Drosophila melanogaster: one gene and its partner. The protein of the gene in region 1 interacts with the protein of each later gene in a pairwise test. Each region holds a gene or a part of one and is shown on either strand. Other genes may lie near its edges.

Region 1 (5,308 bases):
CGGTACTATAATTTAAGCATTTCAATTTTCATGACACATTGGGAGCAAAGTTTGAGTACTGGCCATATAATAAAATGTCGATATCGCGCGCTGGACATATTTATGAACTGCATTGCAGACATGACTTTCGATTACGTAAACGTTTCTCCAACGGACTGAATTTATTGAGTTGCGTCTATTCTTAGCCTAGGATGTCGCATCTCCGGGGTTTGGGGCGACTGCTGATCGCCGTGACCTTCTTCACATGCGGATTCTTCGTCAACATTGGCCAGCTCCTGCTGATTCTCCTCGTGAGGCCCTTCGATAAGAAGCTATCCCGCAGTCTGGCCTACTACCTGCACTACTCCTTCTATTGCAGTAAGTAACCATCATATTAATATAGATTATCATATCATTATGAGTATAAACGTTTCACATTTCATTCACATTAAGTATAGTGTAGTTTTCAGCACACTTCCTGTTTTCCTGATTAGATTAGGTATATGCAAGGTCTTCTTTTGTATAAATCACTTAGTTTTTACATTTGATGATTAAATGAAATAACGTAAAAGTGGTACTTTTTGATAATTTAAAAACTATCCTCACACTTTAGTCCTTGTCTGTGTGGCGGAATGGTATGCGGGCAGCAAGCTGAGGGTGTACATCGATCCCCAGGACGAGCAGAAGTTCTTCGGCAAGGAGCATGGACTGCTCCTGATGAACCACACGTACGAGATCGACTGGCTGACCGCCTGGATGATCACCGACAAGCTGGGCAATCTGGGAGGCACCAAGGCGTATGCCAAGAAGATGCTGCGCTATGTTCCGGTCCTGGGATGGGTCTGGTGGATGGCCGAGTTCATCTTCCTTGACCGCAACTTCGAGAAGGACAAGGTGGTGATCAAGACGCAGCTGAAGGAGGTCTTCTCCTATCCGGATCCCGTGTGGCTACTGCTGAACGCGGAGGGCACCCGTTTCACACCCGCCAAACACGAGCTGTCAGTCAAGTTCGCCGAGGAGCGAGGTCTTCCCCTCCTCAAGCACCATCTGATTCCGCGCACTAAGGGATTCACGACCAGTCTGCCCACCATGCGTGGCATCTGTCCTGCCATCTACGACATCAATCTGGCCTTCAAGAAGAATGCCGAGGTGAGAACTTAAGATCTCATATATATGTATATATATTTTAAATTACATTTTCGAACTTGAATTAACTTACAGCCAAAGCCCACCATGCTGTCCCAGTTGAACGGAGAGCCCGTGGAACCGTACATGTACATTCGCCGAGTGCCACTGGACGTGGTTCCCGATGACGAGAAGGAGGCCGCCGCCTGGATGCAGGACTTCTTTGCGGAAAAGGACAAGATCATCGACAGCTTCCACGAGACCGGCAGCTTCTTTAAGAATTCCGGAGTCAAGGAGGTGCCCGAGAAAATCTACAAGCCGCGCCTGAGCACGCTCCTCAACTTCTTGGGCTGGGCCACCTTTGCCGTCCTGTGCATTCTGCACTACTTGGTCACCTCGCTGGTTGCCGGCAACTGGTTTGGCTTCATCACGGTTCTTTCCATTTTGGGAGGATGTAAGTTGAGAAATTCTAGTTTCGAGGATATGTGCTTAACTTTACAACTTGTACTTCCAGTCTATAGCCTCATGGAATACGCTGTGAATGCTTCGAAGATCAGCAAAGCCTCTGCGTATGGAGCAGCTGCTGCCAAGAAATAGATTTTCATACCTGAGTTTTATAAACTCTGCAACAGTTTTGGAATATACGACCTATGGACTAATAACTCAACTGCACTGACCATAGAAATATTATGTACATTGAATATGTACGATAAACCATTGTAGTTAACTGAATAAAATAACATTTTATGCGAAATTCACTTACAGGAACTAAATGATTCTTAGAGGCAAATATTTAATATGTGTTTGTACATCCAATCGAAAAAATTTCTCACAAATTCACTTACAAGAACTAAAAGTTTCTTTGAGGCAAATATTTAATGTGTTTGTACATTAAATCGAAAAGATTTCTCAGTCTTCTACCACTTATATAAACGTCGTAGTTACAAAGTTTAAACTTCTTGTACTTTTGTTTTTCTAATTAGAACATGTGTTGTATATTTTAGCCATTTATACAATAAATGCTATAAAATTAGGTTATCGAATTTCAAATATAGATAGTGATGTCCAAAACGATAACTGCTTATCGCAATCAGCTGAGAGCGCCTAGTGCGACCCTTCGTGTAAGCAGTGCAGCAAGACATTCAACGTTTTCAGCCAGCTGGATTCAGTATTCCGCCGCTCGTCACCTGCGGTCATACTGATTGCAACTTCCCAAATTTCTTACAATAATCCAATGAAAATTAAAAAACATATTTTCGTACCTTTAATGCAATAATATGTGCATTTTGAAGGTGAGTCAGTGCAGCACCAGTGCCAAAAATTGCATTAAACCAAGTTTGTGCGAAATCCACGAAGCAGAGTGAAAAGTGAAACGTAACGAAAAAAACGTTGAGAGAGATTTTCGTGTAGTTCATTGTTTTTCCTGGGGGATTACTTGGTTTCAAGGACCTTTCACTGGCCTGTGGCCCTACTTTTCGAAGGTGCCATTCCTTGGGTTGGCACAACCTATAGGATACTGCCCGAAATTCCCTTTGTTCGCGTCTCGAAAGAAAGCGGATGCTTGATGACGTTGAAAGCGAGTTACGTTTGTGTCCCCCATAAAGGCAGTTATGCGTGTGTGTGTGAGTGGCTCTCTCTCTCTGGGGTCTCAAAAGGAATATTAGCGATCCTTTGAGCACTTGAAGATCCGAAAAAGTTCTCCAGGAAGTGCAACTGGGGTATAAAAATATATAGTTGCTATATATACATACAGATATACTTGCATGCGTGTACAAATGCCCTCGCACACAAACAGCAGCAGACGAGTGTGCGTGTGTGTCTGTGTGGGGGGAGCACGCGAGTGTGTGCGTGTGGCGACAGCTGACGTTGGGGGTAAGGCAAGAAGAAGAAAAAGACGAAAGCGAAACTTTTTACTGTGCCACTTTTGATCGTTGTAAAAGGAAAATAAGACTATCTTGAGTCACGTCACTTTCATCGTTACATCAATTCGATAATAACGAGCATATTTTATGGGATATTAGATCTTTACACGATTTACCCTTTTATAGATCGATAATTTAAGTATTTATAGGTGGGCTCTATACAGATCTTATTGTGATAGATTCCATTAAGACTTATAGATGTAGGCTGCCACAAGTCTGTTTCAAATATTATACTTCATTCTCAGAAAAAACTAATGTTTTCCATAAAGTTAAATCTGATAAGGATATACATAAATTGAATTACCCATAGAGCATATGTGTGAACATTTGTAGCATGATTTCTTTACCCAAGATAAGAAACATTACTCATTCATGCTATGAAATTTTAAAGGCAGTATTACTTCCGCCATTCCTACAATATATATGAATAGAATATGTTTAACAAGCCTGATTCGGGTAATTTGTTCCGATTTCAATATCACCAAGATTCCATTAAAATAAGATTTTCCTTACCTTTTGGCTTATTTTATTTTAATTGGTATTTTTATGTAATTTACGCACAGCATGCCGATTCAGGCTCCCTCATGGACAGATTTTCTGAACTGTCCCATCTGCTGCAATGAATTCGCGGCCAGCCAGCGATGTCCGGTCAGTCTGGGCTGCGGGCACACCATCTGCAAGCTATGCCTGACGACCCTCTACAACCGGCAGTGTCCCTTCGATCAGGTGAGTTGAACTCCATTTAAGTATTGCGCCAACCCTAAACGATCTGCCCTAATCTCTTTTCTCAGACCGTGATTGTCAGTGACATCGACAATTTGCCCATCAACCATGCCTTGCTCCAGTTGGTCAAGGACTCGGAGCTCCTCGAGCTGGCACCACCACCGCCCAGTGTGCAGAAGCTGGAGCCGGAGCACCTTAAGTGTTACCAACTGGGTCAGCGGTGCATCGAGGAGCTGGCTTTGCACTTGAAGTCCTTCCTCAACCTGAACGGAAATGGCAATCTTCTAACTCGACCCATGTTACGGAAACTGGTTACTCTGGTCAACTGCCAGCTGATGGAGGAGGAGGGACGGGTGAGAGCGCTTCGAGCAGCCAGATCCCTAGGCGAACGCACAGTCACCGAGCTGATCCTGCAGCACCAAAATCCCCAGCAGTTGAGCTCAAATCTGTGGGCTGCAGTGCGGACAAGAGGATGCCAGTTCCTTGGACCCGCCATGCAGGAGGAGGTGCTCAAACTGGTGCTGCTGGCCTTGGAGGAGGGATCAGCGCTTTCGCGCAAAGTGCTGGTCATGTTCGTCGTGCAGCGACTAGAGCCGAAGTTTCCCCAGGCCTCCAAGACGAGTATCGGACATGTGGTACAGCTGCTCTACCGCGCCAGCTGCTTCAAGGTGTCCAAGCGGGAGGCGGACTCGTCGTTGATGCAGCTCAAAGAGGAATTCCGTACGTATGACGCCCTACGCCGGGAGCACGATGCCCAAATCGTTCAGATAGCCACCGAGGCGGGTCTGCGAATTGCACCGGAACAATGGTCTTCCCTATTGTATGGCGACGTGATGCATAAAAGCCACATGCAGAGCATCATCGATAAGCTGCAGACGCCAAGCTCCTTTGCGCAATCAGTCCAGGAATTGGTCATCGCCTTGCAGCGGACCAGCGATCCTGCGAAGCTATCCAGTTTGCATCATCATCTGAAGTACCTGGCCAATATTGATCCCTGTGCGGAGGTTGCCCCGTGGTCGGTTTTGGCTGAGGCCTTGGATGCAGTGCGGCATTCGGTCGTTGGACTGGTGAACTTCCTTCAGCACCACGGAGTGCGCAAGGCGCAGGACGGCATCAGTGGCGGTGGCAGTGGTGGGACGACCAATAGCAATCCGAAGTACAAGATCAGCTTATGCAGGGACTTGAATGTGCGGCGGGTGTGTCCCCGAGGTTCTAGCTGTACCTTTGCCCATTCCCAGGAGGAGGTAGAACGCTATCGTGCACGGAATCGAGGAAAACATATGAAGACACCGTTGGCGCTGCAGGGACCTCCAGCGGTAGGCGTAGGAGCCATAAAGAAACCACTAGGCGAGCAGGAGGGACCGCCTCTAGGTAACATGCCACCCATGTTACCTATGTCGCCTATGCATTATATGGGCTCTCCTAGGGGATATCTGGATCCCAGCTTGGGACTTTCGCCAGGTGGTGGTCTCCCGCCGTCGCATCACAGTCCCATTACCAGGCTCATAGTGCCGAGCCGCTACGATTCGCGCTTTAGCGGGTTTGGCGGTGGCACGCCC
Region 2 (4,478 bases), on another chromosome or scaffold:
CTTTTTTACCGTGTACAAACTGCTTTGTCACATGCAGAGATCACACGACGATTGCCCGACATTTTGCCTAATGGTCCATGAGTCACAGCCAGACGGCTGTACGGTACTTGGGGTTTTCTTAACAGCCGCGCTGTGGAAAACCTCGAACCGATATATATGTATGTACATACATCTATCTATGTATCTATCTATCTATCGGAACGTGCCCCGGGCACGAGCTATAAACGACAATGGGGTGGGTCAGGGCAGGTGACGAGTCGGGCCAAAAACGGAATCTCGCGCATACTTCCCCAGTATTTCCGATTTGGGGGAGTGGTAATTGGGTTGCCAACTTCAAGCATTGGAGGTCATAAACCCGCGAGTCCCCAAAAAAAAAACAGTGAAAAATCAAAAAACCCTAAGTATTAAGCGATTTACTTAGCTAGCTATGCAATTGAGAATTATACTTTGAACTCTACCTTTGATTTGTTCCATTTCCACTTGTTTCAATTCATGGAAACATCTTATGACCACCCATGCTTTAATCGATGTTGTAGACCTTCGAAAGGTTGGCAGAATTCCCACCGTTGACTAAGCCCCCAATTCGTTGTAACTTAATTTCATCTGAATGATGAAATTGGTCAACCAGAAAAGAAAAGCACTTCACGTATGCGCCTATCGGTATAATTTATTAATAGTCATTGTAATATTGTAAATATATATAAAAAAAATACACTTAAGTAATAGTTTTCATAAGTTATCGAGCCTGCGATGCGGTGAATGTGTTCAGTGAGTATGGTGGTACGCGTATGTATATAAATAGGATGCAAAGGCGATATAAATACGTATGAGGGCAATGGGGATTTAATAAGTTATAATAAATAATAGGGTCTAAGGCAGATGAGGGTGTCTAGTAGACGAATACGGATCTGGATACTCGTGGGCATAGCCTATTAGCTTGAGATTGCAGTGGGTCATCGGAGGCGATTATTTTTGGTATGGCTTTTACTGCTCCTCTGGAGCGTCCAACTCTGTCCAGCGGATTACTGATACAGCTTGATCAGCTGCTCGTACTTGTGCTCGATGATGGTCAGCACCTTGATGGTCTCCACGGCGGCGCCAAACATCGGCCATATGTGATCGGCATTGTACTCGGCGTTCCTCGGATTGCAGGCATCGTTGAGACCGGCGACCTTGAGAGCCTCGTGCATGTTGTGATGGAAGAAATGCACGAAGTTATTGAAGTAGCAGTTCCAGGACTGGTGATCGAACACAATGATCTCGTATAGATGCTCCAGGACCAGCAGGGACTCGATAATGGCCGGCATCTCCTCCTGCAGCGTTGTCACCTTGCCACTGTACACAAAGTCACCCAGCTGGTTCTGGAACTTAACTTCCTTGACCTCCGACTGGAGCGGATGCTTCAATGCCAGGGAATGCAGAGAGTAGGAGTGAAGATCTTGGGGCAGGGTGTGGTTTTGATTCCTCAGCTGTTTCGCAATGAAAAAAAATGGGAAATGGGAAACTTAGTGCCTCTGCTGCCGCAAGTCCATCGTTCTAGCTAACTTACCCATTCTTTGGTCAGACAGAGGACCGCCTCCCGCGTATTCTTGGCCACCTCGAGCGCCACTTGCAGGTGTTCGATATTGGGAGTCATTTTAAGGTCCGTGCACTGCTCCCTGCCTTCAGTCTGATTGGTTAACAGGGGCACGATCTTGGTGCTTATTGACCTGGTGTGCTGGTGGTGATGGTGTAGTCGTGCGTGATTGCGGTGCGGCAGAATCAGGCTCAATCCTCGAGCGCGACGCGGTGCGGCAATTGTCCCCGTTGGCCAACTAGTGGCGACTGTGAGTAGCAGCAGGATGCCCAGGAGCCAGCACTTGGAGGTAGCTGCAATGCAAGAAGATGGAAGGTCAGTAAATAGGATTCATACAAAGATGTTCAAAAGATCTCCCTAATCCTGATGGATGCCCAGGCTTGGCCAATAAGATAATGATGATTGAAAACTTCAATGCCCAAGATCCCTATCATTTGATGAGCACTTTCCTGTTTGCCCAGCGATGACACAGTTATAGATACAAAGATACAGATAGAGCGACATGATTCAGAGGCGCTAGATCTTAATGCACACTTACAAATGCGACCGATGATGTTGGATTGCTGCTGGCAGGACGCTTTTGTCGCCGCCGGAGCACTCTGCTCCTGCTCCTGCTGCTGCTGCTGCTGCTGTAGTCGCTCCAAGAATTGGAGCTCGAAGGATTCACTGGCACTGCTGTTGGCGGTCATATTTTGATTTGATTTGTGATGTTAGGCACACACGGTTCGGAGAGTATGTCTTATTGGTTTTCGATATTTGGCCAAGATTCAGATTGAAAGCGCGCTAAAGAGCTGGATAGCTGGATAGCTGGAGAGCTGGGGCTGGCGTGCGGGCTCTGCGAGATCTTACGGTTAATGAGGAGTTGGGGCACACGCCGGCGATTTAAATACAAACCGGACCGCCATCCGGCGATATCAGTAGCCGAAGCCGCACGAGCGGCGCAGCGCGTGGCCGAGCTTACTTTTTTTACGCACACACACACATACACGCGCGCGGGCGGCGGGTACTCACACTTGTTGTGCTCGTTGTAGCGACAAGTGAACAACAACAACAGCAAGCAGCAAGAGCAGCAATAGCAGCAACCACAGCAGCAGCAACGGCAGCATCAGCGGCCGATGGTCGATGACGATAATGAATCAAAAAAACAACGGCCCGCAAAGGGAGTTCGAATTTGGGTTTTCTCAATTATCGGAGGTGGGGGTGAGTGGGTGAGTGGGTGGGTTGGCTTGGCTTGGCTTGGATGGGCTTCCTGACTCAGCCGGGGATTAGCTACTCCCTGGTCAGTAGTTCATGCCGCTGTTGCAGCGCTGCACATGACGTTTTGTTTTCTTCCTGTCTTGCGGCAAATGAGTTGCCAACCGTTGTAATTTATGCACACACGCTTCATGGCCCAAAACGGATGTCGCATTGCATTCTTGCACCCTACACCAAGTAATCGGGCATCTTGGTTGCCAACTGGCATTAGGCTGACCTTACAATCGCAACATTGAATCCTTATTTAAATTGCCTGCCTGGAGGACGACGACTGCAAACATTTTAGTTTAGCTCTGTCTATGAGTGGCTTTTAGTCACTGTTTAACGACACATGCCAATTGCTCTGTTTGTTAGCTGATTAATACATGTTTGATAGATTCTTGGAATTTGTTTGGTATACATATTCCAAACTCAGTGTTCAAGCTAACAGAGTAACACCCAAAGCAAAAAGCTCGAGGCAACATTTTGACAACAAACACATTTTTTATGGGGAATTTCACTGTTCTTGTACGAAATTTGATAAGCCTGATGCCTGAATACTGAGCTTTCCGGAAATTGTAATGGCTATATGTAAATTCAACATTGGTCTCAATGCCCATCAGGCTGAATTAGCCAAAGTGGAATCGCGTTTACTTTGATTAATTTGCGAATATCTCGTGTCTCTTAGCTGCTGTGGCGGCGGCGTCACTTCGGATTCTTCAGTTACTCGATTTACTGTATTTACTTTAACTAAGTGGCGATTTATGATGCGGGTGCCACTTGCCTGGCAAATGACGCGTCGTTCCGTAGGCATTTCCGATCGATCGCTTGGCACGTGCGCGTTTTGCATGCAACTGACTGGCAATAGCCACTTGGCCGCTGGCCGCTGGCCGCTGGTCGCTGGACTTGGCCAATTGATCGAGCACTGGGTATAAGAGACACCGGCAACCGGCAGACAGAGTGTCTGTCTCTTCTATGGCCAGTGCACAGTAGTGCACAGTGCATCGAGCAAGCACATAACCTAGCCCAACATGGCACTCACACTTTGACATAGCAATTACTCATAAAGACGCACGTAGTTCAACCCACTCATGGGACACAAAGCTCATGGGAGTCGTATTCCCTTGTCGAGTTTTCTGCGTAGTATTTCATCAGTTGGGCAAATTTTTCGAGCTTTGTTTTTACCCAATTGCTCTGGGCAGATCCATAATTGCCAACTTTTCCGGAATTCGAGCTGGAGGCCATGTCCAAGGGTTTTCCAATGCAGTTTGCCCGCTGTCAGTCCAGAATTGCATTTGTTCAGCGCTAGATGGGTGCCTTCTCCTTTTGATTCGATATGTATTGATTTCCTCCTCTTTATTATTATTATAATTTATTTTTTTTTTTTTTTGCGCCCATCCAGGCATTGTTGACTGTTAATTATCGCACTCGAGGAGGTGCTAACTTTGGCCACGCACTAATCTCGGCCTGAACTCGCTAAACTTGCAACGTCATCCGGTTTGAGGGAGATCCGCTATCTATCGCTCGTTCCTGTTTGCCATTCCCTTTTTAGAAATGACCATTCCATTGATGAGCTCTTCCAGAGTGACGTACGACAGTACTTAGTACTCAGCGTAGTAAAAAGCTGCAAACATCCCACACTTACAGCGACGGAAATATCGCTCAGACT

The links.
Region 2: the proteins of roq (region 1) and CG6023 interact in a two-hybrid assay, tested with the Drosophila melanogaster proteins (one large-scale study listed by BioGRID).

The regions. Positions count from the first base shown.
Region 1 is NT_037436.4:16,375,520-16,380,827, reverse strand, and holds the start of roq (roquin), read left to right. Parts: upstream 1-2,261; 5' UTR 2,262-2,396; intron 2,397-3,589; 5' UTR 3,590-3,590; coding exon 3,591-3,752; intron 3,753-3,817; coding exon 3,818-5,308. Other genes in the region: Agpat4 (1-Acylglycerol-3-phosphate O-acyltransferase 4), read left to right, coding at 192-357, 593-1,128, 1,201-1,558, 1,619-1,701.
Region 2 is NC_004354.4:18,313,468-18,317,945, forward strand, and holds CG6023 (uncharacterized protein), read right to left. Parts: upstream 2,435-4,478; 5' UTR 2,266-2,434; coding exon 2,115-2,265; intron 1,870-2,114; coding exon 1,550-1,869; intron 1,470-1,549; coding exon 1,023-1,469; 3' UTR 657-1,022; downstream 1-656.